Pelodiscus sinensis: one gene and its partner. The protein of the gene in region 2 purifies or fractionates together with the protein of the main gene of each other region. This does not show direct contact. Links are inferred from orthologs where the notes say so. Each region holds a gene or a part of one and is shown on either strand. Other genes may lie near its edges. The genes, in order: LAMP2 and TMEM192.

What was found.
Region 1: the proteins of TMEM192 (region 2) and LAMP2 purify together in Homo sapiens (affinity purification with western blotting; 5 studies listed by BioGRID and IntAct, with this or other methods). This does not show direct contact. The link is inferred for Pelodiscus sinensis from reciprocal best matches to the Homo sapiens genes TMEM192 and LAMP2.

The regions. Positions count from the first base shown.
Region 1 is NC_134723.1:33,823,333-33,839,693, reverse strand, and holds the start of LAMP2 (lysosome-associated membrane glycoprotein 2), read right to left. Parts: upstream 7,128-16,361; 5' UTR 7,049-7,127; coding exon 6,970-7,048; intron 1,516-6,969; coding exon 1,397-1,515; intron 240-1,396; coding exon 29-239; intron 1-28. UniProt on the Homo sapiens protein: Lysosomal membrane glycoprotein which plays an important role in lysosome biogenesis, lysosomal pH regulation and autophagy.
Region 2 is NC_134715.1:63,163,027-63,178,770, forward strand, and holds the start of TMEM192 (transmembrane protein 192), read right to left. Parts: upstream 8,283-15,744; 5' UTR 8,159-8,282; coding exon 8,126-8,158; intron 3,440-8,125; coding exon 3,293-3,439; intron 1,750-3,292; coding exon 1,485-1,749; intron 1-1,484.

The DNA of each region.
Region 1 (16,361 bases), on a different chromosome or scaffold from region 2:
CATCGCAAGATAAAATCCCACATTTTACCTTTTTTTTTAGCATCTTTAAAGGCTACATCACTGGTATTGTAGGTAAATGTGATGATGTTCCCTCGATAAGTTTCATTTGTCTTAGTAAAGTTTAAACTCCAAGAATGACCTGCTCCAAATTGTATTGCTAGTAGTGGGTCATGTGTCTTATTGCCACAGGTGCTTCCCTTATGCGTTACATTGGTAGATGGTTCTAGAGTTACATTTTTCTAGAAGAGAAAGGTAGTTAATTCAGACAGACATTCCCCTCATTCTGGAGTATTTCCTGGAAAGTCTCAATTCTGTAGAAGTGGAAGCTTCCTATTTGTTTCCATTAGGAAATGTTGTGTGGAACAGCTAACTGAACTCAAAGAAGGGTTAAGAAAGTTACTCCATTATACACATTGTTCTAAAGTTTACCACCACTGGAATTAGAAAAGTGCTGTGTTGGACTCAGAATAGAAGTTGAAAAATCTAGCCAAAGGTCTTATCTTGCCTGCAAGACACTAGCATTTAGATTAGTGGTCTCCAACCTTTTTATTCCTGGTATTTTTCCAAGTGTAAGGACAAACCAAGATGTGCCCCACCTTTCCCTAAGGTCCCACCTCACTCACTCCATCCCCTGCTCTCATTTACTGACTTTTAACAGGGCTGGGGCAGAGGGTTGGGGTTCAAAAGGAGCCGAGTGGTGCTGACTGAGGAGTATCAGAACTAGGGATGTTCTGATACTAGCCTGGTGCTATGTGTGCTGGCTTTTATTCAGGCAGGCAGCTCCCAATGGCCACTTTCTAGCCAGAAACTGGCCAATGGGATTGTGCTGGAAGCAGGGGCAGTACCTGAAGCCTCCGCCCTGGATCAAAGTTTTGCAAGAGAAATGGCCCAGGTGCTGATTTTCTGAGTAGTGTGTGGGGCAAGCAAGGGAGTTTGCCTGGGGCTCCCCACTGCACCCATGGGCTGGATCTAGTGGCTTGGCAGGCCAGATTCAGTCCGCAGGCCATATTTTGTCCAGGCCTGTTCTAAAATAATCTTGTGACCCCTCCTCCTACACACTGCTTTGTGTGTTAGGACCCTTACAATTACATCACCATGAAATGTTAAGTTTAAAAAGGCAAAAATGATGAAGCTTACTATTTTTTTAAATCCCATGACAAACTGACCAAAATGGATCATGAATTTGGTAGGGCCCTAAGCATGACTGAATGGTGTGATTGAGTTTTAGGAAGGACTTAGAAATCAAATATTACAAATATTACAAGATTAGCAGCCTGATACTTAGCCTACTTATTGGAGAAAGAAAATTTTGTTTTGAAGTTTCTCAAGACTGAACATGGAAATGAAATGAATAGTACTTCTAACAGCAGAAGTTAGCATTAAATTCAATACTTACATATTCACTACTGTTTGTTTCATATTTTATCAAGAAGCTCATCATCCATTTTGCATATATGCATGTAGTATTGGAGGAATCTTTCACCTCTACTTCCACTGCATGTGACTGGAAAACCCCTATAATATATACAGTAATTGTTTGCATGTAAGACATTGATACTTCATTTTACAGTGTATTTCACAAATTAATTCACTACAAAATGTTTTAAACAGAGCAAATTCTTTCGGGTTTACATTAATTTTACTAGAGACATGAAGGCTACTTGATTTTCTAATACTAGAATTAGCAACACGATATAACTTCTAGATTTAAGTTAAGTTCTGGAGCTTTTATCTTGTCTTGCTACAAAGTAAAGAACATTTCACACAGACATTTAGCTCAGCAGAATTCACATTTTACGTAAAGGTAGCTAGGAAGCAAGATGTTTAGAAAGTTTGAGCACATTGGAATTTGTACTTGAGATAAGCAGCTTGTCAGATCTTAAGAGGTTATGTCATTAATTCATTTAATTAATATTTGAACACTGAAGAAGTTTTGTATGTCAAGACAGAATTCCCTAAACAAGATGGTAAGAATGGCCGTAAAGAGTCATTATGCTCTGTTTTAGCAACAGATATGACCTAAGGCAGGGCTAGGCAAATTATGGCCTACAGACTGCATGAAGCCCAACAGAGCTTCTGACCCATCCTGTAGGATTACCAGGCCAGTGGCACATTGGGGCTAGGGCCGACTTCCTGCCCCATGCCACTCTCAGAAATCACTGGCACATCCCTGCAGTCCCTGGGAGGAGTGAGGGGGACAACAGGGCTTCATGTGCTGCCCTCACTAGCAGACATCATCCCTGCAGCTCCCATTGGCCAGGAATGGGGAAACTGAACCCCAACTCCAGCCATGAACCCCTTCCTGTGCCCCCAACTCTGCACAAGTCCTACACACATAGCCTGCCACCCACCTTCCCTACCTAGATGTGGCCCTCTGGCCAAAAAGTTTGCTCGCCCCTGAACTAAGGTGGCCTGCAAATTGAGAGTCTGTGGCTCTGTACCTTTCTTAAAATTGTGTTTTAGTTTCTGGACTTTAACCGAAGAGCCTAGTTAGTAAATTTAGTTCCCCTTCTGACTATAGATTGTCAATGCTACAGGTGTTTAAAAGTCTAACTTATGGGCACTTCTTAGTCAGACTTCACTTACTTGGTATCTACATTATATTACTAGCTTACCAGATGACCAGTCTTCCAGAAAAGAGACTAAAAATGCAGGACTTGACCAATAAAAAACAAGCCATTCCACAAAAACCACCACAAACCCTGTTTTAGCAGCATAGATCTCAAGTTTCTTTTCCTACAGAATGCTGAAGATTTTTGACTGAGTTATTCTCAAAGGCATTTTGAGAGAGACAGTATATAAAAAAAAAAATCTAACAGTGGAAACTGGTTCAGCTTGTAGACTCCCTAGCTGCTGACAGGTAAATCAGCTTTGAGACTGGGCTACAATTTGCTATTGTTTCCCAAATATTATCTTTTATATTCAAATGACTACTTAAATCCAGTGATTTAAGTGATAGTGATAGCCAGTGTGTGATAGTGAGTCACACACTATCATTATTGACAAGCTAGAACTGACTTACTCTTATTATGGAAAGTGTAGCACCAAACACCAAGTTTCAGAAGCTTTACTGAAGGAACTTTGAAATATTAAATTGTACTTGTTACCACTACAAATTATTTTTATTTAGAGAGATTATAAATTAGGGAGATTACACTTAGATGCTTTTAGTATAGCAAGTGATTAAGACTCCAGTTTGGTTTATCCAAAAAGTGTAAGTGTTAAGAAATTTTAAATACAAGTGTCGCAATGCATAAGCCAGCTTGCCTATGCATGGTCATTTGTTAATAACGTTTCAGTGTTCAGAAAAAGCCAGTCAAAACTCCAAAAAGTCAGTGTTAGTACTTAAGGGTTTACAGTTTTGATCTACACACTCTACTTTAAAAACCAAAACAAAGTCTGTAATGTACAAGTTTCAAAACAACTTCCACTGGAGAGCACATATGTAAGCATTGACTGAGCTGTAAGGAATTGCGAAACCTGGTCTTAAGCAAGCATTCAAGCTTCCCTACCAGACCTTGTAAGTACTAGTCAGCCCTCAGCTACTTAATACCCCCCCCATTCTTCAGAGAAAAACTTGCGCCTAGTACTAGACATTTTTCTTTAACCTCTCAAAAATGTTGCCTTCACCATGCTCCTGGCCCCTCTACTCTAATATGACAGGCTATCATGCATCTTTGAGCTTAGCAGACTGTACCCATTACAGAGAGAGTCCAAACGCCTCTGCACGTGACCATTACCAGAACTTGTCTCAACAAACTATTTCTAGAGACTGGAAACCTGAATATTGCAGTTATAGAATGCTTCACTTTCGTGTGGGTTTTTTTTTTTTTTTACCATCACATTCAGTAAGGGAGATGCTTAGTGTTGCTCGATAAGAATCGCTACCATTTCCTGCTCTAGATAAGATAGGAGAGCAGTCTTACAGCAAGATGTTAGTAAAAGAAGTCACATGGAAATAAAGTCCAGAGGTATAGACATAAGAGTGGCAGTAATATAAACTTCATAATCTTCACATTATTATATATTAAAGATTATGATAGTTCTTTAAAACCATGGCAGTTATTCAAGACCACAACATGATTTATTAAGACAGTCCAAATTTTCATACGTATTCTACGAGCCACAGAGCACAATGCATGTAGCACTGAAATTACTATCTTCATATTGCCTAATCCTATGCTGCTTTTAAGACAAGACACTCATAGCAAGGACTCGGTTCTATTTTGTGCTGCTGACTTGCTCTGCAGCACCTGAATAAGTCTGCCTCATTTTCATTTTATGAAAAAAAAGCTACTGATGCACCTTCAAATAAAGTAAAGATATTTGAACAAAAGTACAACTGAAGTGCAGCATTCTCCTTTTGTCTTGCAGCTGAACTATTCCAATAAGAAAGAAGAATGACAGCAGAATTTAGAGCAATACCCTATATATGTAAAAAGTGCTCTTCCTGTTACTAACAATTACAAAGGATGTCTGGTTATAGTGGTGGGCCCTATTCAAAATGGAAAGTTGGATAACCTGGTTTTACCTCAAGCCTACATTTTCTAACCCACCCATCACCACCTGCAGAAATAAATTTGAAAACAATGATAACTTCTGATTCCTCTGGGAAAGTAATTTGTTCTGATGTGATGTGGATGCAGCAGAAGCTAGGGTTACCATACATCAAAAGTTTCCAGAAATAGCCTCTTTGAGCCTGCTTTCTCTGGGTGAGAAAAGATTTCAAACATGGGGGGTGGGGAGAAGGCTTGCAGAGCAGGCAAGCTGCAGCTCAGAAACAGCGCTTATTGCTCCCTTCCCTGCATCTGATTTGCCCATTCCCTGCAAGCCACAGCTGCTGGATCCCTCCCACACTCACCCCAGTCCTAGGGGAGGAATCCCAAAGGGCTTGTGCCAGCTGCCCTGCTACACTGACACCAAGTGACACTTTCCTCAACTCCACTGAGTATCCCCCAGGTTTCTTCTTCCCCAAGCATCCTTTATTTTGGGAATCTGGAATACGGTAACACTAGCAGTAGCAAGTGGCGGCACTTACCACTACAAGTTTTGCTGGAATAGCTAGGCCAATGAGAGGTGTGATGAAGTGTGATTTGTGACTGAAATAGCTGTTCTGGCAGAGAAGTATGTCAAAGACCAGACTCCTGATCCAAAAGAGAAGTGCCACTTTGAAAAACACTTCACCTGCTGAGTTGTCTGGTGAAAACCACAGGCTAGCTACTCTCACTTTGGATTAGTTCACCCAGTGTGAAAGGATATTGTGCCAAACGCACCAAATGAAGAATTACTTGCATCCATTAAGGTGTGGGGAAAGATGCCACTTAAAGTTTACCCAGCAGAGTATTACTCCAGCATACTCTGTACAGTTTGGATTTCTACTTGGCTTATTTGGACCTGCAAAACTGTAAAGACCAATTTGGCTACAAGTAAGAACATGTTTTACAGGAGGAGACTCTTGTTCAGGTATTTACAGTTACAGTTTTAGAGTGCTCTTGTGGAATACCCAGTATTTCAAGTAACAATGTTAATCCAACAGCCCAGAAAGCCATCAAAATGCAGTCTGTTGGTCCAAATAAGTTGAGAGATATATGACAAAAAGCTGGCGACTACTCCCCTATCCTTTTTCATTTTATTCTCCTATCCCTCTGGATAACTTAATATTAACCTGACAGCATAATTCTGTAAAAATATCAATACACCAAGGCTGGAAACAGCCTTTTCAACAAGTCAGGATTGCAATTAATTAGAAGAAATCAAATTCAGCACCATTTTCACTTTGCATAGGAGATCACATTGGGAAGACCTAGAGTTAGCACTTCTAGTCCATGTCTGTTCATCCCTATATAATGGTACACACTTCTATCCTAAACAGTAGCAAAAACAAACCTAAAGCCAGTTTGAGTTTGCAGTGAGAGAAAATCCAGGCCTTATAGTACAGAGTCCAAACTGAAATGCCACATTAAACAAAACAAAAAAATGAAGCCGTTAGGTAGACTAGGAAGGATTAAAGAAGCATTTCACAGACACCATGGGTCTGTTTAACACATAGAAGAAGGGAAGACTGGGGGGCAAGGAAGGGAGCACACCCTGGAAAAGAAGAAATGGAGAGTTATGACTGCCCCGAATATCATGTTGGAGCATCTTTACTGTGCTTTTGCCTGAAGCCCAGTTGTGCTCTCAGGGCACCCTCCCAAAGGTGCCAGAAAAGCAGCCACACTTCAGCTCTCACACAAGTGCCAGGAATGCTCACCCCGCCTCCTTCTCAGGGCTACCCCCCAGCACACCCTTGAGGGCCCAGCAGAGCTGGTTTGAGTGCAGGGGACTCATCCCCATCACTCCCAGGGCAAAAACCTCTCCCCGTGGTCTGAGCCTTGCCTCGAGGGACCAAGCTCCGGGACTTGGCGCACCTGCGAGCGAGATCCGCAACGCAACGCCCGGCCCCCAGCAGCCATCGCCCACTGCGCAGACATGACCCCCCCGCCCCTCCAAAACACATTCGCGCTACACGCAGGAGCCCCCCCCAAAGTCCACCCCCACCCGCACAGAGCGCCCCTACGCGCAGAAAGCCCGCGCCCACAGCCCCTGCACTTATCCCGGGGCACCCCCACCCCTTCAGAGAGCTCCCCAGAGCGCCCCCCTCCGCACAGCCCCGCCCCCAGAGCGCCCCCCCCAGAGCGTCCCCGCCCCCAGAGCGCCCCCCTCCTCACAACCCCGCCCCCAGAGCGCCCCCCCCTCAGAGCGTCCCCGCCCCCAGAGCGCCCCCCTCCGCACAGCCCCCCCCAGAGCGTCCCCGCCCCCAGAGCGCCCCCCTCCTCACAACCCCGCCCCCAGAGCGCCCCCCCCTCAGAGCGTCCCCGCCCCCAGAGCGCCCCCCCTCAGAGCGTCCCCGCCCCCCCCGGCATGACCCCTCCCGAGGGACTCGCCCCCCCCGCCCGCAGGCTGCGGAGCCAGCCGCCGCCGAGCACTCACCGGGGCCGCCGAGCACCAGGAGCAGGAGGCAGCCGCAGGTAAGGCTGAGGGGCCGCGACCAAGAGCAGCGCGTCGCCATGCTCACCAGCGTTGGGGCTCTGCGTGACGAACGGGCGGGCGCAGTGAAAGCGCAAGGCCGGTCATATGAAGGGGAGGAGCCCTCGGCGGGCAACCAATCACAGAGGCGCCTCACCCCACCATTAATTTTATGGGTCACAGGCATAGTCGAATTTATAACTAAGGCGGGCGGGCGGCAAACTAAGGGTCCAATATAAGACTAAGGGGACATCTGAGAATAAGGGGGAAAAAGGTCTACATCAGCGGTTCCCAAACGTTTGTGCTAGGGACCCCTTTCACACAGCAAGCAACTGCGTGCGACCTACCTTATACATTGAAAACACTTTTTAATATTTTAACACCAGACCATTTCCCAGAATGACATGAGGGGAAACTAAGTTGTGGTGCCCGTGTTAGAAAGTGCTGAAGAACTTTTTCTCTAAGAATTTCTAGTGCTAGAATAGCGGGATCTGAGGAAGTGGGTCTGGCCCACGAAAGCTCATCATCTAATAAACCATCTTGTTAGTCTTTAAAGTGCTACATTGTCCTGCATTTTGCTTCAACTACCCCAGACTAACACAGCTACATTTCTATCAGAATAGCGGGAGGGACTAGAACGGGACAAGGAGCCCACTGATACGGGACTAAAGAGGTGGAGGGAGAGAAACTGACTAAGTGTGGGGGGGGGGGACTGGGAGCAGAGGAAAGAAGTGGGAATTAGGAACTAGTTGACTGGGAGGGTGGACAAGGTGTGGGCGAGTTTGGGACAAGGAAACCGGGAAGGGGAGACAATTGAGGGAATCAGGAAGTGGGTGGGTAAACAGATTACACTGAGATTAGAGTCGTCGTCCTGGGAATGAGACTGGTCAGAGAGCTAGAAGGGAAGGGAAAGGAGGAGGCATGGAGACTGTGGACAAGAAGTTGCGGTGGGTGGGTGGAAATAATAGGCATTTGGTACTGGCTGTGGAAAGGGGAAAATTGGGAGTCAAACAAATGATTTGGAGTAGAAGACTCAGACTGGGTGGGTTTGTGGATGCTAGCAAGATGGGAGGAGTTTCAAGTACTTTTTAGAATTTTAATTCAAAGTGATCTCAACAAACTGGATATATGGTCTGAGGTAAACATAGGATGAACTTCAATAAGGGCAAATGAAAAGTACTCCACTTAGGAAGGAACAATCAGTTGCACACATACAAAATAGGAAATGATGGTCTAGGAAGGAGTACTGCAGAAAGGGATGGGGCAGCCATAGTGGATGGCAAGCTAAATGTGAGTCAATAATGTGACACTGTTACAAAAAAAGCAAACATCACCTAACTTCACATGCCTTTGCTTCACTTTAGTAATGCCAGCACGAAAAAAATTCTATGCAGACAGAAAATAGCAGAATCTGGCAACCCTGCCCATGGGCAACAGTAAACTCAAGTCTCATGGGCCACACAGATCCCCAATTGGCTGCATGCAGCCCAAGGGCCACAGGTTGCCCACCACTAGTGTAGATGATGCTTGGTTCTGTCATGAGTGCAAAGGACTGGACTTGATGACCTCTCGAGGTCCCTTCCAGTCTTATGAGTCTATAAAAAGTGAGTGGGACTGGGATGAGAAGCCAGAGTTATGGAGGCTGGACCTGGGTAGATAAGGAGCCAAGAAAGGAGAGAGACAGGACCAGGACAGGTAGAAGGGCATGAGCAGACAGTGTCAGTCTTGGTGAAAACAGGCAGAACACTTCCCTCCAGAGCCTAAAATAGAACTCAGGATTCCTGAATCTCAATATATCTCTGCTGTCAACAAATATCCAGGAAACACACTGGCAAAGTGTGTGTCCCATCCACCCCCTTGTGTGGGTCAGCCTTCTAGAGCAGTGTTTCTGAAAGCGTTCTGCGAAATCACTTTCAGAAACACATTAACTGGACGCCCCAGTTTGTTTATTTACTGGTGCTGCAGCCACAGAGCCTTGTGGCTCCCATTCACTCCGTTTTGTGCTTTGCAGCCAAGGGGAGCTGCAGGAAGTCGAGGTCCAGCTTTCAGGATCATGAACTGTGATCTCTCAGGCACATAGGACCATTTGCAGGAAGCAGTTTGAATATCAAAACAGAGACCTTCAACTAGACTATGATTGTAATTAACCTGGAGCCACTAAAGAAAGGGGGTCATTTGGTTAATATATGTGTAGCAGTCTGTGTTCTGGAATGCTCCTTTTTTTTAAATCAATTGGAGCTTTACTTCAGGGCCTTTGGATTAATTCCTAAATGCATGTGAATTTAAATGTTTCCTTGTGACATTTGTATTCTACACGACAGCCTTTACTTAGTACATCAGAACCAGAACGTGAGCAGGACCAGGAATTCAGCAGAAACTAAAATGAACCTGATAACAGCCTGTTTTATTGTCTGAGTTTAGCAGATTCATAGAAGTGACCAAATAGATTATTAAAACTTAACAAATGTTAAGAAGATTTGCTTATCACCAAATATGCCAGGGTATGATTAGAAACAGGTAAGGGATTTCTTAACATATATCTCATTTTTAACCTACCACTGCCCCCTTAACAGTGTCTCCTTTAATTTTAAGAACGCCCTTTGTAAGACTGACTGTGATGTCACCTCATCTCATTATGAGCTTATCACGTGCATTTGTGCATTATCATTTGTGCATTCTGAGGTTGGCTGAAACTGCTTCTTAGTATGTCCTGTTGGCTGTTTCAAGCAAGAGAAAAATGAGACAGTTCAAGCCTGAGAATTGTGGGATAGATAATTTTGCTCACCCAACTGAAGGGCCCAATCCTGCTCCCAATGAGGTCAGTGGCAAAACTTGCATTAAAGTAAGTGGGAGAGGGAACAGGATTTAATTTGTCTTAATAAAAATGACAAGCCCACACACAGTACAAAAATACAGACTGTGTCTTAGTTAACTTATTTTCCTGTCACACTCTGAAACAAGAGATACTGATGGCTGCTCTGGGTCTGTGGTTGCAAATTTCTGTTAGTTGTAGTGATAATGATGAGACAGCCCCATGGGAAAATCTCTGTAGGTCCCAGCTCCTAAATGTAGAGTCTGGGAGGACCTCTGTAAGCCTGGCCTGTGGAAACACAGGGATAGATTCTACCCTGGTGTAAATTAATGCAAGCTCCAGTGAGGCTAATGGAGTTGTGTCCAGAGATGAATTTGGTCTGCAGTATTCAGGGCTTTCACTTACCATTCAGCACCATTTAAGTGTTGGGTATAGTCTGGAACAGCGGACATTTGCATATTCTAAACAGCATCTTCATTCTCTCTCTCACTCATCTGACTCTAGCTATCTTGATCCTACTAGCAATGGCTGGGTTTCAAGGCATTCTCTCTGGCCCCAAAAGGGCTGGTATGGAGTCTGCATGACAGTTCTTTCTGGCAAGTCCCAAACCTTTCCCCACCACCGTGGAAGGGACAAAATAAATCCTCCCTTTAACAAAAACTGTCAGGTTGATTTTGTAAACCCACACCCATTTTTATTCCTCAAGCATGATGGCAAGGTTTATTGGTGAGGGTCAGACTTAGGGTGCCTATCCGGAAAGGTGCAGAACACTTTCTCGGCCTGCTGAAGGGAATAGGAATCGAGGACCTTACAGGATCCAGCCTTTGATGAGTACTTACTCTTAATTCTGTTTATTACCCTGGTGTCTAAGAGCCAATCAAGACTAGTTCTTTATTGTACCAAGTACTAACAGAGCAGCACAGTACATGCCCCAAAGGATTTACAATCCAAATCGACAAGACATAACAGAGTGAAGGAATGCATAGAATACATCAGCAGAATGAAGACTGCGATAGCAGCAAATGGCATGTTAGAGCTGTGATTTTTTTTTTTTGGGGGGGGGGAGGGTTTAATAACAAAGAGAAGATAAGCTGAAGGGAAAGGGACAAAGGAGATAAGGTAGGGAAGAAGAGGCTCAGGATGAAAAGACTCTGTGGAGGGATGAGGAGGTTGGAGCAGCCAGGCTATCTAATCAAAACTATAAAAAGTTCTTGGAATGTCCCAAGATCGCTGCTTTGGCTTGCATTTATGGTTGCCAACCCTCTAGGAATGTCCTGGAGCCTCCGAAAATTCGATATTAATCTTTCATTAAATATCACATGAAACCTCCAGGAATGTGTCCAATCAAAATTGATAAACCTACTTTTCTTACCAGCTGGAGTTTCTGGCTGATTCCTCTGCAATTTTCTTAGAAGGTGATATAGGGGTGGGGGGAAGGAACAAGCCTAGTGGCTCCAACATGAATAGTTTTCTTCTTGATTTGATGACATTGGTGGTGAATCCCATTGACTTTAGACATCAAGGCTCAGGCCTATATGATCAATTATTTACAACCAAGGAGTAGGGGATAGCAGATGAGGAGTAAGTAAAAAAATTGCATTTGACTGTATCGAGAAAGACTTCATGTGCATTTGGTATGATTTAGGGAAGTCCTGGTTGATGGCCACTTGATCCAGATTTAATGAGACATTTCCCATTGGGACAGTGTGATTTGAAATTAACAAATGGGATATTTCTATGTGGCAGTGCATTTGTGCTCCATGATGTATTGAATTTTCAGAATGGAGGTTTGGAACATCCTACCAAATGTTCAGAAGATTTTGGCTGCGTCTAGACTGGCAAGTTTTTCCGCTTGATTTTGCGCAAAAGCACTGACGTTCTACTGTCCGAAATCAGTGCTTCTTGTTCAAATGCTTTGACGTTCCTGTTCGGGCAAAAGCCCTTTTCCAGAAAGGTTTTTGCGCAAGAGTAGACAGTGTAGACAGCTAAAAACTGTTTTGCGCAAAAAAGCCCCAATGGCGAAGGGGCTTTCTTGCGCAAAACCGCATCTAGATTGGCACAGACGCTTTTCCACAAAAAGTGAAAAGCGTCCGTGCCAATCTAGACGTTCTTGTCTGCAAATGCATTTGTGGAAAATCATGCCGGTCTAGACGTAGCCATACAGTTCTAGTGTTGGAATATACAAGCCGCCAGTAAAGGAGAGATAATATACATGAAATGCAATGGTTATCACAGTTATCCTGGTAAGTTTAGTCATTTGATTTGACTTTTACTTTAAGCCTCTTCTGCCTAGAGCTAATCCTGGCATACAAAAAACAAAACAATAACAAGGAGTCTGTACCCTGGAAGGGAAAAGAAAGAGGGGATTATGGATATGCACAATAGAGAGACATCAGACACAGACACCTCTGCATTATTGCAGCCACTTCAGGAATATTTCTTTTCCCATTGAGGCCAAATTCGTGGTTCAGTATGCAGGCTATGCAATGTGGATTTGGCTATCGTCTGGACAACAGCTTAATCAAGATCAGATAATATCCACTAGGATGTTACCATTATGAGGATTCTGCATGAAAGCATTAGCTTTTTAACATTAGGAAAAAAATTAGATCTTGAAAGGTCTGGACTGCCATATTGGTATATTTAAAGCAATTTCTTAATAACCATAGTAGTAAGTAATGTAGATTGTCTGAAAGAGGCAGGAACAGTCAACCACACAAATTCAAATCACCTTAATGAAAATGATTAGTCAAGACTCTGGCTGTCACCTGATGCATTTTAATGAGAAACTACATCATGCTGCACAAAAAACAAAAACCCACAAAAAAACCTCAAAACACCAAAACCCCAAACTTCCAGCAAAAAGGAACAGGCTCAGAAGTAGAATTTTTCTGAAACTATGGGGACATGATTTGTGAGAGCTGACTAGAATGATAAGGGTGTGTGTGTGTCAGACAATATTTCAACATGGGGAGCTGTATAACTGAGTAATCAGTAGCTGATCCTTTTAAACTTGATTGCATTACCTGTCTGATTCTCCTTGAGGCCATAGCGATTTATTATCAGTCTTTAAATAAAATGGCACCCAGGTCTTGTGATTCGTTCATGTCTTTTTCAGCATCAGTTTCAGTATAGATCTGTTCTGGGCACAGCATGTTTATAGAGTTAGGATGTGAAAACCTGTGATTAGGATAACCATGTAATCGCTGAACATTTCAGCGGTTACACGCTTACCCAGGCTGTGAGCTCTGCAGTACAGGCAGTCCCCGGGTTACGTACAAGATAGGGACTGTAGGTTTGTTCTTAAGTTGAATCTGTATGTAAGTCGGAACTGGCGTCAGCCGCTGCTGAAACTGATCAGTTTCAACCGCGGCTGAATCTGGATGCCAGTTCTGACTTACATACAGATTCAACTTAAGAAACCCAGGCGTCCCCAAGTCAGCTGCCTGGGCTTCCTGTAGTCAGCCGCTGGTCAGTTTCAGCAGTGGCTGACGCCTGGGGCAGAGCAGCTAGGGTGCTGCTGGGTTGCTCCAGTAGCGCGGCTCCTTGGCTGTACTGGAGCAACCCAGCAGCACCCCAGCTGCTCTGCCCCAGGCGTCCTGATTCAGCCGCTGCTGAAACTGACCAGCAGCAGCTGAATCAGGACGCCTGGGGCAGAGCAGCTGGGGTGCTGCCGGGTTGGTCCGGAGCGGTGCTGTGGGACCAACCCAGCAGCCCCCAGATGCTCTACCCCAGGGGTAGGCAAGAAAAGCCTGGTCTGCACGCTGGAGACAGCGATGGAGGGTGCTGGCTTCTCTGCAGCGAGGGAAAGTGATTAGTATGGGAGGGCAGGTTCCAGGGTGAGTCAGAAATGAGGGGTTCAGGATGTAGATGGGAAGATAGTGTGCGAGAGGGTGAGGGCTCCAGCTGGGGGTGCAGGCTTTGGGGCAGGGCCAGGGATGAGTTTTTTGGGGTGCAGGAGTGGGGCTCCAGAATGGGGCTGAGGGGTTCAGAGTGTGGAGATAGAGTGGGGTTGGTCTTGGAGAGGGAGTTTGGATGTGAAAGGAGGTGTGGTGGATGGGCTCTGGGAAGGAGTTTGGGTGCAGGAGGGGGCTTAGGGCAAGGGGTAGGGCACTAGATCCAAGCAGTACTCACCTTGGGCAATCTCCACAAGTGACAACATGCCCTTGCTGCTACGACTTGGAGGCACAACTAGGCAGCTATGTGCATTGCTTCTGTCTGCAGGCACCTTCCCCCTCCCCCCGTTTCCATTGGTTGTGACTCCTGGCTAATGGGAACTGCACAGCTAGCACTCAGGGTGAGGTGGAGCACAGGCAGCACATGGACTCCACATAGCTCTTCCTTCTTGAGGACAGCATTTCTCAAATGTGGCCACAGGGGCTTTTCTTGCTACCACAGCCTCCTGCCTGGTGATGGGAGTGGGAACAATGCAGTGGCTTTGGGGCTTTGCCGGGGGGCAGGACCCAATTGTGGAACCCCAAAGTTGGATGAAAAAGCATCCAGGGAGCTGCCCACCTTCCTGGGGCTGGTGCAGTCAGGATTCAGGTCTAAAATGGCAGGCTGTATCCACGTGGCTTCTCCAGGCTCTGTGCTCTGGCTAAGAGGTGGTAGGATCTGACCCAAAGTTTATCATGCCTCCATACCAACCTACCCATCTAAGGCTTAAGTTGTCTTTAGGCTTCCTGAGGCAGAGTAAGTCTGCTGTGAAAAAAAAAAAAAAAAAAAAGATATTTGTATGTTTGTTAATATTATTTTTCCACAGTAAACTTAGTGGCTAGCAAGTCTAAAAAAATAACCTAAAAAGCAAAAGAAACATCTAGGAAGGGGGGGGGGGGGGAAAAATGGCTGTGCAAAGCATCTTGTGTTTCTATTTTGTTTAGGTCCTGTAAAAAATAGGGACAGCTGTACATTATTTTTAAGTTTGGAAAAAATCCTACGTAAATAGTATATATCTTTCTCATTACCTTACTAGAAGACTTACCCAGTGTTGCTCGGGTCTTTCAGGGCAGGAGGTCGGTGAGTGTAGGAGTCAAGGTTGGGGGCAGTGAGGAGGTTTTCAGAGTGTGGGAGCTCCCTGGGAACGGCTCAGGGCAGCAGATGCTCTGCAGGGGCTGCATGGTAGGGGCCAGCCTGGGGTGGGTGGTGGATGTGCTGCCAGTTGTACTCCTGGGGTAGCCAGTGGCAAGGATTGTGTTCCTGGCCAGCAGCTGCTCCCATGGTCATTCTGTGTTACAATTGTCCCATATGCTTGCTGCCCCCTTGTGATCATTCATAAGTATAACTGTTGCTGCTGTCTCGCCTCCTCCCTTTCCATTTGATGAGAAACAAATCACATTCCACGCACATCCCATTGTCCTGGCACAGCCAAACCCTGACCTTGCTTTAAGTTATGATAAGAGGATGAAGATACATATTTGGAGTCCTAGCTCTTACCATTTAGGATGAGTTCTTGAACAAACGGTCTCTCAGACAGATAAACACACAGATAATTGACACACAAACTGAACGCTCTCAAATATATAGTAGATGGATCACAGGAAAGGCATATTTCAAGTCTGACCTCTGGTGCAGAAGACCAGCAGCTGACAGATAGAAAATGGAACAGGTAGTGACCACCTGATAATTAACCAACCTAATACCAATGGATGATGAAGTAGCATCAGCGATATTAAACACCACATGTCTTTTCTGCAGGCACTGTAAGAAGATTTTAAAAGGGACTGCATACGATCGACCAAATTGTGGAACTGTGTAGCATCCTCAGAAGGGGAAGGAGTCCAAAGCCACTCCTACCTGTTCACCTGGGGATAAGATGGGCTCATAAACCATTTTGGAATGTTTCTGTTCAAACAGAGGCACTACCGCTTCACCTTCTCCTTTAGACATTTTATTGGGCATCTCTGTTGGTAAAGTAGATGGATCAGGAGCTGGGCCCACGGATTTTGGGATTGTCAGATCTTTAACAGATAAAACATTTCCTTCTCCATGTGATTGGAGGATAACTGAAAAATTGCTGAAGTGGCCTCCCAATACAGCCATGAACCCCAGGACTGCCAATCTCCCCAGAACCAGGGTGCAGGAAACATATATGATCCGCATTCTGCAGGCATGTGTTTCAAAACAAGCCACAGATCGCTATATTCTTGTTTTGTCTTCTTCCCAGTAAAGATCTTTACTAAGACTGTACTAAGGGTAGTAGCAGGTCTGAATGTAGGTGTGAGATCCAGGTCTTGGAGTCTCCATCAGAGTCCAGAGGAGGAAAGAATTCTGGAGGAAGACCAATAGCAACCTCTGAGCTTTTCTTCCTAACAGTGGATGATGAAGAATGTGGAACTAGGGAAACATGTCTCCTTTTGGAAACTGTTTCCTCCACTCAGAACTGATGAATCAAGTGGAGCTGGAAGATGAACTTGGGCAGTCATCAGTCTAGAACTCTCTGGAACAGAAGATGTAGCTGAGACTGGCCAGGAACCAATGATAGATTCAAAGACATGGACAATCTCAGATCCAACATTTTCCCCAACTGTATCTACTTTATTATGAA
Region 2 (15,744 bases):
ATCACTTTGGCGTGAATGAAGAAAACCTTTCCCACTAATGTAGGTGTTAGAGAAGAAACAGCCGGCTCAGGAGCAGATGGGGGTAAACAGCCCACGTACATTTACCTTGGACATTCCACACAATGTGTGAATCACCAAAACTGCCAAGTAAAGGCAGTTTTAAAAAAATATTTAAGAAAGGGACCAGGAGGTGTGGAGGCTAGTTTAATAGACCACTCTCCTTGCTAAATTGGTAGAGTAAGTGAGAGGAAAAAATGGCAGGGGCCAGCCAGTTCAGCACAGTGACTTGAGGCAAAGGAGGATGCAAGCGCAGACTTCCTGACAAGGGCTGGAGAATGGCATTGCCACTGATACTGGCGAATGATCTGAGGGCAGGTGAATCATGGGCCTGAAGGGACATACCTTTTCGATTCTGGATCAAGCTTGAATTTAGCAACTGGCCCAGCCCTGAAGAGTGGGTGCAGAATACAATTTGAAGGGACTACGGGAGGCCAGAGATGGGGAAAACAAGCAACTTGGATTATTTATACCCTCAAAAGGGAGAAGCTGTGTGTCAGGTTTGTGAGAGAAAACAAACCATTGCCTCCATTACTCTGCTCTGTCCACCCCATTTCTTCTCTAACAATAGGAAGCATTGGTGCTACAGTAACATACTAGCAGTGTAGGAGCTTGTGATGCTGTAGTATACATATGGCCTAAATAATTAAAAGTTGGAGTATCTGGAGAAAAGCCAAGGGGATGAGACCTTTTAAACTCCTTCCATTTTGCAGTTATGGAATACATCGCTTGGCAACTCTCTCCACACATGCACATGATCACTCTTTACATGCAAATGAGTAGAGTCCTGCAAGTGTGCCTTGGCAGATATTTGCAACTCATTTTTACAGATACAAATGTGGATGTATCTGTGCAGAACTCTAGAAATGAGGAAGTCTGTTTCATAATGATCAGAGGGTCTACTCTGTATTCTTCCCCACCCCAGCCTTTTTTGTAAAACGGGCCTTATGTGACTGCTTTTCTCCTACATGATTATCCTTTGCTCTTAAGTTCTCAAGTTTGACTGCAAAGTCAAGATCAGAAGCCTACACACAGTGTAAGCAGTGCAGATTCTTATTACTATATGAAGCATATAGTGCCTTCAGAATGCAGGTCAGCCAATAGCAGTCCTATTGCTTCATGGTTATATTCAAGACATCTTAACAGCAAACACTTCACCAGAAACAGAGGAAAATGACTAGTGGACAAATGCAAGATATCCAGTCAGTGCTACTATTTCCAAATTTATTTCAACTCAAAGAGTTCTAGCCTCCTGCTCCACTGACAAACAAGTTTGGAGGTTTGTACTCAACTATTAAGCATAGCACTCAAACTGGTGTGGCACACCTTAGATGAAGAATTCAAAAAGCACAGATAGAATAGTTCAGTTCACAATGTTTGTTCATACAAAATCCACGAAGAACAAAATTCAAAAAAGTTCATCTCACCTGTAGAATGTATTAAGAGTGGCAGCCTTTTAAGATTTCTTGTTGATCGGTAGATCTTGAGGTATCCTCTGCTTCTGACTTTACTGTGATGATGCTGAACATATCGTTCAAAGAGAACATGCAAAAGCCACAGAATTACCTTTGCAATGATTATGACACTTTGCACCTTAAGTGGGTTGGTGTAGTTTCCAGGGCACACATCTTCAACTGGGTGTGCAGAAGAACAATATATACCTGCTAAAAATGATAAGACAACAAAAGCAACCTGTGAAAGAAAGTAGACAGACCTTAATATTAGTAGTTACAGTGTAAGCAATATTACCTTAATCTTTTTACTTACTATGCCTCATTTTTTGGATTGGTTCAAATGAAAGAAAAAAAATCTACTGCAATTTTCTAGAAGATACTTCATCTTTGTACAAAAAATATATCATGCTACTTCTTCCTGGAAAGAACACAGAAATTTGTTCTGCCTTTTCTGCATCATTACTAAATTTTACCTCCTCTATCTAATCATGGACCAGTATCACTGCTAGGATTTTCTGTCCCTAGCATACAGTAAGGATAAGAAGGGTACTTATTGTCCTTAGCCTTACCAGTGATGGATTTTCCCCCCACGTCTTTAGCTTCCCTTATTGTACACATTTAATGATTTCTAATTTATCATCAGCCATATATATTTTTTTATATCTATTATATATGATGAAGAGTTAGTTTGTAGAAAATAATGTAATACTTCGCGATTACCTACAGATACCCAATTTTGCATCATCAATCCTGCCATTTAAGTTAACCAAATGCACTACTTTTTACACTGGAATATGCTTGGTGAAAGGTTTAATTATTTTTGTTTTTCATGTAAAAAAAAAAATGGTGAGAAAAATTCAGATGGATGTGTGCTTGAGAACACCAGCTAAAGCCTATCAAAGAGAAGCACTATTTCAATGCTTGTAGTTACCAACATGACAAGTTTAGGGCACGACTACATACCAAAATAACACCAACTAAATTGACATTATGCACTCTTGAATTGGTTTAAAGGGTCTTTACACTAGGGGGTTGCTCAAACGTAGCAAAGTCCATTTTAAGAAACAGGTTTTGATGATGTAGTTTGTATGCCTTTGGAACATCACCACCACCACCACCCCCATTAACATTTCAGAGTGGGAAGGGTATTGAAGATGTAACATTAATGCATTGTCAACATCAGATCTACCCAAACTCTATTAAACATACTGATACAGTTATATGAGTGCAAGTTGCTTACATATGAGATCTGAAGACTTTTTCTAACCTGAGAAGAGCTAAGACACTTATTTACTAGGTTTTAGAACTAGTTGAGCATTGACAAAGCTAAGTTCACAGGAAATAACTATAAATAATAAACCAAAAATTTAGACTGGATTAGTCTTTAATATCAAGTATTGCTAAATTTAAAAAACTCACAAAAAAACAAACAACTCTGCACAAAAGAGTAAGTGCAGCAATGCTTTCTTGGTCCTGAAGCCATATCCCAATTTAACTGGGATTCTATAACTCACATTATCCGATACACTCAAGTCAAGCGACTTCTTATCTGACTAGATTACCTGCCATATCCATGCGACTTGGAAGTTGGCAGTGTTGGGACAGAAAACTTAAACACAAGGTATGAGGAGTATGCAACAAAAGTCACTGCTCTCCTTACTCACAATCCATGCTTTAGGTCCAGTGCATTACAGCTGGGGAACCAGAATTTCCCATTATCTCCTCATACTCAAGTTAATTAAAATCTGAGGGTACTTTAAAATAAATAAAAAAACACTTACATGTAGAAGCAACAGAAAATTGGCAACTAAGACTGTCGGAATAGCATGGAATCTCGGACTCAGTTGTGAATGCAATTCATGAGGTGGAAGAAGTGGTGCATCAAGTAGAGGATCATCTTCTGTGCTCTGGGTTACCTCCAGGGAACCCTGAAATTTAAACATGGATTTAAGATTACTTTTCCCCACACTTTTTTTACATTTCTCCTTCAATGACTGTTTACAAGGCACACCATCTTTCTGTACCAAACTACAGGCAGTCCCTGACTTACGCGGATCCGACTTACGTGTACTCCAGGGCGAGAAAAGCTGCTTCGCATCTCCCTGGTCTGCAGACCAGGAAGACGCGGAGCAAAGCCGCGGAGGGGCTGGGGCTGCGGGGCAGCCCAGGCGCACCTGGGCTGTCCCACCACCCGCTTTCCCGGAGCCCCAGCCCCCCTGTGGCTTTGCAAAGCCGCCGGGGAAGCCGGCAGCGGGACAGCCCAGGCGCGCCTGGGCTGTCCCGCTGCAGGCGTGCTCCAAGGCTTTGCTCCCCGTCTCCCTGCAGACCAGAGAGACGGGGAGCAAAGCTGCGGAGCACGCCCACAGGGGGACAGCTCAAGCGCCCGGGCTGTCCCGCTGCGGGCGTGCTCCAAGGCTTTGCTCCCCGTCTCCCTGCAGACCAGCAAAGTCGCTGGACACCCCCAGCAGACCAGGGACACCCGAGCAAAGCCGCCCAGGCAGCGGGACTTGTGTAAACAGGCAACCACTAGAAGTTTCAGCAGTTCCAAGCTCGCGGTTCGGCGAGCCCTGCTTATTAGAAATTACTGTTCTTATTCTTATTAGGAATTTATGCCATTAAAAAAAACGAGTCCTTTTTGTTTGGCGAGTAAGATTTTCCATAATTTGTCGAGCCCTGCTAATAAATGAGCATACCCCAGAGTATTGGGCAAGTCTGGTAACACCGGGCTACAAGACAACACAGATCCTGAAGTCTTAGCAGTAGGATCTGGAACACCAACACCATAGAAAGAATCTAGAATCCAATTGCTCTTCACCAGGGATCTCAAACTCTTTGCCCCCAGGCTATCCCTGGGCAGAGGAATTATGCAATCCAGCCAGTGAGTCCAGGCAAGGGTGTGTGTGTGTGGGGGGGGGTGTCTCTGTCTTATCAGCCCCCGAGTTCCTCCCATACGCACCACTGCCCCATCCTTTTCCCCCACCCCATGGCACCCTGTGCCCTCCCAAGACATGGCTTCAGGGAACACCGCAGGGGGCTAGGAGGGCTGGTGTTGCACAACTGGTCAGGGCCTGTCACTCTCCCTACAATCATGTGGGGGTGGGGAGGAGGGAAGGAAGAGGCAACATGGTGACAAGAAGGGGCACAGCTTGGGGCCTGGTAATTGGTAGTTCCCCCGCCGCCAAGCCCACTGGGACTCCCAGACCAGATTGTGCAATTGCTCAGGCCATAAGTGGCCCACATATGGGAGTTTGAGATCGCTTCCCTTTCTAAAAAATTCTCCCCTCCCCCATCCTTCTCTAGTAGATTCTGGTGTCATCCCCCTTATAACTCTACATTAAGATAACCAAAGGTAGGCTTCTGCAGCCACCTTCTCAAAAAGTAACACTTTTAAATAGCTAAGTGGCCACCTGGGTCCTACAGCTGACTGTATGGTTGGCCATCAACAAAACCACCACAATCTAGGCTGCAATTTTAGATCAAGCACTTGTGACTCTCACGTGACTGAAACATGTCTCCACCTTACCCTAGTGAAACTAGTTTCCCCAAGCACAGCATCACAAGTTAAGTGTCTCCACAATGCATCTAAAAATAGTGTCGTGTATTCCTGTTCCTCTTCCCATTTCTGCTACAGAAGTCGTCTGAGTGCATGCACGTGCTATGAAACGAAGACCAGGAACCTATGACTTCTAGTGGCACACAGGCTGTCAGACAGAAATCTGTGTCACCTTTCAGGAAGGCCTCAGAGCTGCAGCACAACATGGTAATAAAATCCAACAGATTTCTTGGGTCCAATAACCTCATCCTTCACGTATTATTGCAATGTTTCAGTAATGGATCTCCTAGCCTTCATGGAAGACATGAGATATTCCCAGAGAGCCTTAGAAGGTACACATGCTGCTGAAAATACACAAGCTTTGAGAGATCCCTGACATCACACTCTCCTAATCTGATTATCTCATCCAAAGGAAGTAAAATACTTATCAGGAAAGTGACCAAACAAAGCTGGTCTGTCCCTTAAGACACCTGAACTCCCTTGGTTTTCAACTCATCTAAGTATAAGGCCACATTCAACAAGCTTATCCATTCACCCCAAACCCTCTACAACCCAGAAAATCCCCAAGGTTCACAGATTAAGTACAGAGGAAACATGTTAGAAAGCCTTTGATGCAAAGAAAAAAAATGCATACACAATACTCTGAATTCTTCTGCCAATAGTGCAAAAGTTCCTTACTTGATTGCATCACTGCCACAAAGGTGGCAAAGCAAGCTGCTGCAATCAACAAGGCAGAATCCCAACAAATTTAACTATTTTGTTTGGTCAACTCTCAAGTCAACTCATATCCAAGCATCAAAGAAGGAGAGGTCAACATACTTCATTAATAAGGACTCAAGTGCATATGGAGCTAACTGGCATAAAAACACCAGTCTAACCAGATTGTATTATGTACTCAAGTATTCTCAATTACCATGCTGCTTCCTAGCCTCCTATTCCTACAATATAAAAGCACTTGTACTACAATAAACAGGGATGTTGTGTAAATTACATCAGAAGTGGCAAATATTCACCTTTCACTAGCAGCCAACTGTTGACTAAAAGAAGTGTCATTTTCTAAGTCTCATGTGAAAAACAAATATACCTAAAATATGCACCATTTCCCTCCCTCTTACCAGCACTAATCCATAACCAACCTATGTTTCTCAGAATCAGACAATCTTTTCTACTGTACTGGGGACAGTATGTTTGGATTTTAAATGAATGACTAAATCCAATAGCTTCCAAGATATCCTGGTTACATTGGAACCTGCCAGAACACGAATCACTATACTGCAGACTTATTGAGGCCTGGTTTCTAGGTCAAAGCAGAAGAGACCAATGCATGGAAGTCACATGCGTGGCTTTCTACTGCAGTTCTGCTTTCAACAAAAGCATCTCTTTACACTAGTTCTAGTTACTCATATCAGATTCCCAGCTTCCAAAACCCCTCCAGCCATATTTCCATGCCAAAAATCAGACATTACTAGGTGTTGTTTGCACAGACGCTGCATCTGGATAGCCAAGTGCAGATATTATAGCAGCTTGTACTTTTAAGGTCAATATCCCTTGTGTATTAAATAGAGAACTTAAGTTTCATAGCCATGCTACTTCCTCAAGTCCTTCTTAAAAAAAGTAACAAACAAGTTTTGTGCATATAATCATCTATAATTTGGGTGCAGAGGAAGGCGGTTACTTGAATATATGCAGTGAAGTTGCTTTTGTGATTTATCTTTGTCTTTCCCACACATATACACACATGCGTACACAATCCAGCCAGAAAGGTGGCATACTACAAATGATATTAATTGAAAAATAATGTCAAAACAGTAGTGTTTAAAAAAAAACAAATAGGATTCCTTATTAAAGCCCACAGACAAGATATTATGCAGGAACGTAAATAAAACCAATTTTCAGAATGAGTTTTAAATTGACAATTTTTGACATTTATCGTAACTACAACGTCTCTTTACAAGAACTCATTTCATCCACCCCTAAAGTTATCTTTTAGGTCTATCTTTTAGGTCTACCCAATTTTGATGACCCACCTCAGGTCATGAATTTCAATTCGTTAGGGAGTCCCTTCTCCCGTTCATCCCCACAGGCCTCTTGAACAGGGTGTGCTGAGCACTGAGGAGCAAAGCAAACACAAAACCCCAAATAGAAGAATTTTCTGTTGAATAAACATTGGAAGCAATTGTATATATAATAAACACATCGGTTTGGCTTTTAGGCTGCCTTTTGTTTTCCAACACATCAATTTTAAAAGAAGCACGCACGCCCTTGGACCCACTTTGTCACTTGTTTCTCCAGTCATTTAAAAAACTTTAAAAAACGGGGCGAGGGGGGGGAAAGGAAGCACAACAGTACAGTAACATACTAATAGAGATGCAGCTGTGTTAGTCTGGTCTAGCTGAAACAAAAGAGCTTCCCCAATTATCACCCCTATGTCATTACCTCACAGACACTAACCTTCCCCCTTCACCCCTCCTCTGTTCTTAAACCAGATTCGTCAATTTTATATGTGTTCATTTTTTGTTAGATTGTATCCTTTGGTATATATGGTCGTGCCAATTTTCTTCCACTACTTGATGTGAGCAAGTGGGTCTGGCCCACGAAAGCTCATCACCTAATAAACCATCTTGTTAGTCTTTAAAGTGCTGCCTAGTCCTGTCTTTCCTAACATACTAAAGCCATGTTTCTTATTATAAGCATATTCATCTTGCTTTAAAAAAAAACCCCAACTCTCTTTTGCGAGTAGAATTACGCGTCTGACAGGGCAGCTAGGGAAACTGAGGCACAGAGCTGTTGGCTCTAGGAATGCCGCCTAAGGAGAAGCCAGTGCAGGGCCAGCCCGGAGAGGACCCAGCTCCACGACTTCCCACGCAGAACCCCCACCCCCCCCCTAAAGTGCGAAGGACGGACACAGCCAAACCATTTCAACCTGCGTCTCCCCTGCGAGCCCAGGACGCTGAGCGGCGCTCCCGCCCGGCGCGTGCAGGCGGCTGCCTGACACCCGAGCACAGCGCGAGCCCCCGGCGCGGGCTGCACAGGCCGCCCCCCCGGGCACCCCGCTGCTCACGTTCTCCAGCTCCCGCTGCGCTCCCGCCGCCATCGCCCCCCGCCGTCGCCGTCGCCAGCTCTATTAATGGGCGGCTCCCCTGCCCCAGCGGGAGCGGCCTCCCGGCGCGACCCAGGCCTCGCCCCGCCTCTACCGGCCTGAAGCGAGCGCTCCGCCCCCACCTCCGCCTGCCCCTCCCCTCAGCGCCTGCTCCCTGCAAGCCGCTGGTAGCGGCTCTCGCCTGGCTGGCACACGGGGGAGCGGGGCTGCAGCGGGCTGTTTGTCTGTGCGACGCCCTGTGACTGGCTGGGAGGTTTGCCGGCCGTTCGAGCCAGCGCACTGTTATCATTGGGGATCGTACCGTAGCCCCGGCCTCTGCTGCTTGCTGTACAAACGGGAGAAGAGGCCTCGACACCTCCCCCAAAACCAAAGCAACCCCCACCAGTGTTAAGCTCCCATTAAGGGAAACGGCTCAACATTGCGCTGTGGCAGGGCTGGTTTCAGCGGGGTGGGTCTATCGGCATCCGTGGCACCATGGATGTCAAACCCAAGGGGTGACCAGACCCCTCCTGTCAGGTTGCAAAGCTTGATACCAGGAAGCGAGTTGAGTTCTGCCCTTCAGTAGAGGGGTTGTTGTCCAACTCCCCACCCCGTCCTCTCTACACCAGGCTGAGATTAGGGGTGCAGAGAAGGAGTGGTTCAGGGGATTTTCTATGCCCTCCCTTTACTACAAGATAGGGAAGGGCCCACATTGAACCAGGACGCTACATCTATTCTAGCCCAGCTCAGTCACCTGCAAGGAGGAATGTGCCTTCTCATTTTTCACTAGAGGACAAATCTACTGCTAAGTGTAGCATGGCCACCAGTGGGGCAGATACTCTTATCAAATATCCTCTTTTGCTGAACGTGTGTGTAGCGCACAGACTCCTTTCTACAACCCCAATTATATCCCTGCTGCAATATGACCTGTCACTAGCGGATTCCTCCGTGCTTCCTGAGTATGATACAATCCCACTTGCTTGCATGGGTTGATAGGCAAGGAGGTGAAAGCATTGATAGTTACAACACAGTTACAACAGCAGTGCACATTTCTTTGCCAACATGCGTATTGTGGAGCAACCAGAACTACTACTTTCAGGTGTCATTAAATTTCTGCTGAGGCAGCTAATAAGGAGTTCTCTAAGGATTCCAAGTCGTGCCAATTATTTTTGGGTTCTTGGGACTTTGGGTGCTTTTATATTGGTGTAAATGTTCATTCTTTCAGTTCATTATTGAGATATCAAATCAATATGGGGTTTAAGCTTTTCCAAGAAAGGGATTATCTCAATGTAATGATGCACTTTTCTAAACTGATTTAGTGAAAGGGTTACAACTTTTGTTGGCAGATAAGACCCAAGGCATCCTAAAATTGCTCTGACAGTAGCAAATGTAAATGTAACTTATCTCTACCGTAAATTAGTATATATAACCCGTGCACGTGAATTACCCGCACCCGTGCATAACCCATGGTTTTTCCTGATTGTTTAAACAAAGTTTTAGATAACCAGCGCACATGTATAGCCCACAGGAGATGAACCACAGGTACTGTTAATGAACAGCACCTGTAATGAAGTGTTAATAAACCGCAGCTGATAACGCTGGGTTCATGCACAGAGAGAGAACAAACAGGCGGTATCAACGGTAGCTATACAGCTCAAGGCTTGTTTGACTTATGGCTATAGAACAGAAAATCTATGATTTTAATGGGGGCTCGGGAAATTGGGTGTACAAATTTATGCGGAGAAACCATGTCAGTTTGCACACGGACATCTGTTGGCCAATGGCTTCCCAATGAATGGGAGAAGAACATGGATGATTTTAAAACTTTTGTACATAAAGAAATTAACCAGCTGGGCTTGAAACCAGAAATCACCGCCGTTATTATTAAATTAAAATATGCTGCTTTTATTAAGCAAGAGTTAGTTAATTTCTGTGTTTAAAAAAAAAAAAAACTTGTATAACACCTGAACGAGGTGGGGAATGGGAATTGTAAAATCTTGCATAACCAGAGGGTTATATATGCTAAAAGATGGTACTTTAATGCCTTTTTTTTTTTTTGCTGCCTGGTGGTGTGAAGAGGCCTTAGTGCAAATGAGAGTCTTCATATCAAATCTATTTTTATGTTATTACATAGTTGGCAGCTGGTACTGTTCTTTTTAATTGTTTGGCTTTTTATATTGCAATCTTATACTGATAAATTCAAAGTAAGCTCAGATCCTCACTGGTATTTAGGCAGGCACCTAACTCCTATTCACATCAGGGGGAATTAGGCAACTTTGAGGATCTGGGCCTGAGAATCTGCAGATGGAATCTAACTAGTGCAGTGGTCTTCAACCTTTCTGTGCCCAGGATCACTTTTTGAATGTAAGCTCAGGATCTTCCCTGCTCCTTCCTCCAAGTTCTGCCCCACTCATTCCATCCTCCCTGTCCAGCACTCACTCACCCTCACTTACTTTCATCCAGCTGGGGCCATGGGTTGGAGTTACAGAGGGTGTGTGGGCTCTGGGCTGGGACGGAGGGGCTTAGGGGCAGGAGAGGTACATGGTGTTGGCTCTGACAGGGAGACAGGGCTGGGGCAGGGGTCATGGGTGGTGGATATAATAGGTCAGGAAAGGAAACCACCAGCCATGGCCCTGCCCACACTTCCCCCCCAGAACATTGTGCTGAAGCAGTAGGCATTCTGGATGTGCAGTACTGCTGCCCCCGGGCATCAGCTGTGCTGTGGTTCGTGACACAAGCAATGAGCCTTCCCCATGCTCTGGAGCTGGTGATGCTGGAGCTGTGCACCACTCATCCACCCTCTCCCTCCCGCTGTGATGCTTGGAGCTGAGGAGGCTTGGGCTGCATGCTTCCAGCCCTTCCCATGGTGCTCAGGGCAGAGATTCTAGGGCAGGGGTGGCCAACCTAAACCCAAGAAGGAGCCCGAATATACCAATGCACGTTGCCAAAGAGCAACAGTTATATGTCACCAGCCCTGATTATCTCCCAACCACCACTCTCAGCACATCCCGCCCATGGGCAGACCCACTGGTCAGTGCCGCCTTTTCCTTTTCCTCCTGTCCACTGTGATCAGCTCTTTCTCCGTGGAAAACACTGGAGGGGGTGAAGCATGGGTGTGACAGGCTCAGTGGAGAGGGTGGGAAGTGGCAGGATCCTAGGGGGGAAAGGATGGAGGGGGACAGCACTTAGGACAGAGCTGGGGGTCCAGCCCAGTGGAAAGTAGGCACTTGCAGCTCCAGCGCTGGATTTGGTACCTACACAAGGAGCCACATATTAACTTCTGAAAAGCAGCATATGGCTCTGGAGCCACAAGTTGGCCACCCGTGTGCTAGGGCCACATTGTCCGGTGCTCCAGGATGTGTGACCATGCTACCCAGTGCTGGGCGGCAGGTGGGTGGGTGGGGGAAATTTAGCATGGGGCAAGGGCCAGTGTACAGAATGGGTTGGGAGTGTGGGGCAGCAGCCATTGTGCAGGCTGTACTGCGGTGGGCATGAATGGGCGGGACCTTGGGCAGAAGGGGCAGAGCTGGGGAGCTAGAACCACCCACAGCAGGGGTGCAGGTGGGGATGTGGGTTGCTGGCTCTGAGAGGAAGATTTGATCTGGGGGAGGGAGTATGGGGGTTAGGAGGAAGTATGGGGTGCTGGCTCTAGGAAGAGGCTGGAAATTGGGCTGAGGCAGACTTCCTGCCTTCCCTGACCCCACACCAATCCTGGAAGGGGCCTCCCTTTCTGCTAGCACCACTCCCTCAGCATTGGCCACGGTTCCCCATTCCTAGCTAATGGGCACCACCAGTAGAAACAAAACACCGAGACATCTATATAGTTTCGAAGTGTGCATCTGTCTGTCTGTCCCTCTGTGAGTCTGTTTCTTCAAGAACTCCTTCTGAATGGTGAGAGCTAGGACCACCAAATTTGGTATGTGGCTTCATCTTATCCTAATTTAAAGCACAGTAAGGGTTTGGTTGTGCCAAGAAAACAGAAAGTGCTGGGAATGGAACTGTTTTCCATAACATGGAAAGGGAAGGCCAGAAAGAGCGGGGATGCAATATGAAAGAGGCCACTGGGGACAGTAAGCCCACAGGGTAGAACTATACTGCAGAGTGACTACTAGGGAGGTAGTCTTGTATTCAACTCGCATTTCTTCTCTCCCTGTTGCTGCCTCTGTATCACAGGCAGTAAGGGGGATGGGGGCAGGGGAAAGCAGGAGCAGGTGCTTGGGGGAGCCAGCTTTAAAGTGGGTTCCCCCAAGCACCGTCTCTGCAGTGCCACCTTCTCCTTCCCCGCTGCTGCCTCTATCAGAATGGAGCAGAGGAGGCTGCCCAGGCTCTTCATGAGCAGAGGCTGCTCCACAGGACTGTGGTGGGTCCCAGCAGGGACCTGGGACTTCCGCTGACAGGGGCTGCTGCCGCAAAGCAGCCGCTGTCCAGAGTGGCCCAGGCTGGCTGTGAACACAAGCTGCTCCGGCAGCAGCCCCTGTCAGCAGCGGGGTAGGGGGGAGGTCCCAGTTCCTCGCTGCTGGACCTGGTGTGAGCCAGGATTGAGCTGGGCTTGCTCAGTCCTGGCTCATTCTGAGTTGGGGACCTATCCCTGCTGAGGCTCTGCAGTTTAAATGTAGTAGGAGCCAGGCTGCCAGCATGCCTGGCTCCTACTACATTTAAACTGCAGAGCCACAGCAGGGTGTAGCTCCTGGACCTGGTGCAAGCTGGGACTGAACGACTTCCCTTACTGACTAATCGTGTAGTCGATACAAATTGTATCGACTACACAGTTAGCCAATTATCCGCCGCTTAACATCCTTAATGACTACTGGGGGCATCCGCAACACCAAGAGAGTTAGGACTGGTGGCTGAAGGGAGTGAATATGCCTTGCCAGTTCTGGGCAAACTGTACAGACTATCCAAATGCAGAGGCACTACCCCGGAGGCCATCTAGAGACCTTACAAGTTCCAGATGAAGGAGGGGAGCTGGAGATTCATCAGTGAGTGGAGACACTTAGGCTACGTCTACACTGGCGTGTTCTCACGCAAAAACTCTTTTGCAGAAGAATTCTTCTGCAAAAACTCTTCCAGAAAAGACCGACTACATTGGCATGTGCTTTTGCGCAAGAGATGTGCTTTTGCGCAGGAGCATCCATGCCAGTGTAGATGCTCTCTTGCGCAAGAAAACTCTGATGGCCATTTTAACCATAGGGCTTTCTTGCGCAAGAAATTCATGTTGCCTGTCTACACTGGCCTCTTCTGGAAGAGCTCTTGTGCAAGAGGGCTTATTCCTGAGCAGGAGTGTCAGAGTTCTCGCACAAGAAGCCCTGATTTTATACATTAGAACATAAGTTTACTTGCACAAGAACACACGGCGAGTGTAGACAGGAAGTAAGTTTTTGCACAAGAGCGGCCGCTTTTGCGTGAGATCGTACCTTTGTAGACACAGCCCAATAGTAGGAAGAAACTCAGGGACAGCAATGGCTACAGGGTGAGTGAGCTTACACTGGAGAGTCAGCAAGTTGCTGCTTGAATTTTCCCTGCTGACTCAGTGGCTTGAGGAAGCCACAAACAGGTCCCTGGGCTGAGGTCCAGTGGAGTGGGAGGGCCTGGACTCCCTGCTGCAGGGGATGTAAAGGTTTCCCTTATCTACTGACCCTTGAGAGATTGACCATTGGGTTACATTCCTCCACAAGGAGGGGCAAGCTATAAACTGGGACTATTGAACTGTGCTGCCTTGCAAATAGGGGCAAGTTCTAGACTTGAACATTTGGGTTGCATTGGGACTATTGAACTGTACTACCTGGCCCATAGGGGCAAGTGAGACTCTGACCACTGGGTCACCCTGCCCTGGGATGAAGGGGTGGGAGTAGACAGACTTTGGAGTGGGAGTTAGAGGCACTGACTGGGGAACCAAAGTGGAGAATATGAGGGTGACAGGTTTGAAACAGACAGTGTCACTTTGTCTAGAAGGAGGCTGTCTCTCTCTCATCATGTGACCATAACGTTTGTGTTTTCTATGCCTATGAAAAGATTTTGGACCTGTTTTAGAGAAGCACAGAGCTCACAGTGGAACAACTTGGATTTGGATTGTAAATTTAATATAGATGTCATCTGAGCTGATGCCGCTGAAGAAGGATGAGAGGTGAGATGATCAAAGAGATTAAGTGGTTTAGCACAGCTGTTCTAAAAGCTATGAACAATGAGTCTGAAAATCTGAGGCCTGATTCTTCACTAGCCTATACAAGTTTTATCACTGTGTAAGTCCAATTTTAATGGAATTAAAATATTTATAGAAACATTTCTTTTTATCCTTGCCTGCTTCAGTAAAAGCTGCTCTTTACTTGGTATACTGTGATACCAAAATGTAACCTTTTACATGTTTCTTTTACAGTGCTTAAGATGAGAATACACCTATAATTCTTTTATGGCAATTCATGTCAGCAGGTAATCAAAATATACTACTAATGCAGTGGCTAAGTAGCTGTCTGTTTTCCAGTGTCAATGCAGTGGAAATTATGTGATACTAGCCCCAGATGGCCAAACATTTAGGATGCGTCTAGACTGGCAAGAAAACTTGCCAGCTGTCTACATTGGCTGCTTGAATTTGCGCAAGAGCACTGACTTTGAAATGTACAAAATCAGTGCTTCTTGCGCAAATACTTTCACGCTCCCGCTTGGGAAAAAGCCCTCTTGCGCAAGAATACTTGCTCAAGAGGGCCAGTGTAGACAGGGAAGAACTGTTTTGCGCAAAAAAGCCCCGATGGCTAAAATGGTGATCGGGGCTTTCTTGCGCAAAATCGCGTCTAGACTGGCCATGGATGCTTTTGCGCTTTTGCAGAAATAATTTTAACGGAAAAACTTTTCCGTTAAAAGTATTTCTGCAAAATCATGCCAGTCTAGACGCAGCCTTAGAGTCTGAGTCTATTCTCTAATTCATTGTTTCCAAAATGGTGTTCCATGGAACTCTGGGGTTCTGCAAAGTGAAAATAAGGGTTCCATGAGAACATTCCATTACAATAACATTTTATGATTTTTAAAAAAATAATATTTAAGCATTTATGAATTTTATTGACAATCATTTTCATTTGTGTTTGCCACGATAAGTGTCCCTGTGTAATGCCAGTTTAGCCACAGAGTGGAGATGATGATGTCACTATTCAGTGCTGCGCGCGCAGTCAATCAATGGTATGATCACCTGTTATATACCACCATAAATCCCCGTACTCACTCTGAGGGAGTGTGGATCATGTGGGTGACTGAATACAAATACACTAGCGCCACGTCAGACAAAGTCGAAGCGTCGGCTCTCAAACCAGTTGCTTCTATGGGAGTGCGCAGGCAGTGGTCTCGCAAACACTTTACTTCAGTATAGTAGCATGATTTTTTGTATTTAAAAATGTAACTGTGACAAATATAAATTGACTATGATAGGTAATCTACATATCATGACCTTGTTTAGCATTTGTTTATTATTTCCCTTACTTATTTGTGGTCTACATTTTCAGCTTCATATATAAGATTGTTATTAGGGGTTCCACAAAATTCTTTAGAGTTTAAAAGGGTTCTGTGGCCAAATAAAATTGGGAAACACTGCTTTAATCTAATGCACACTGCTTCAT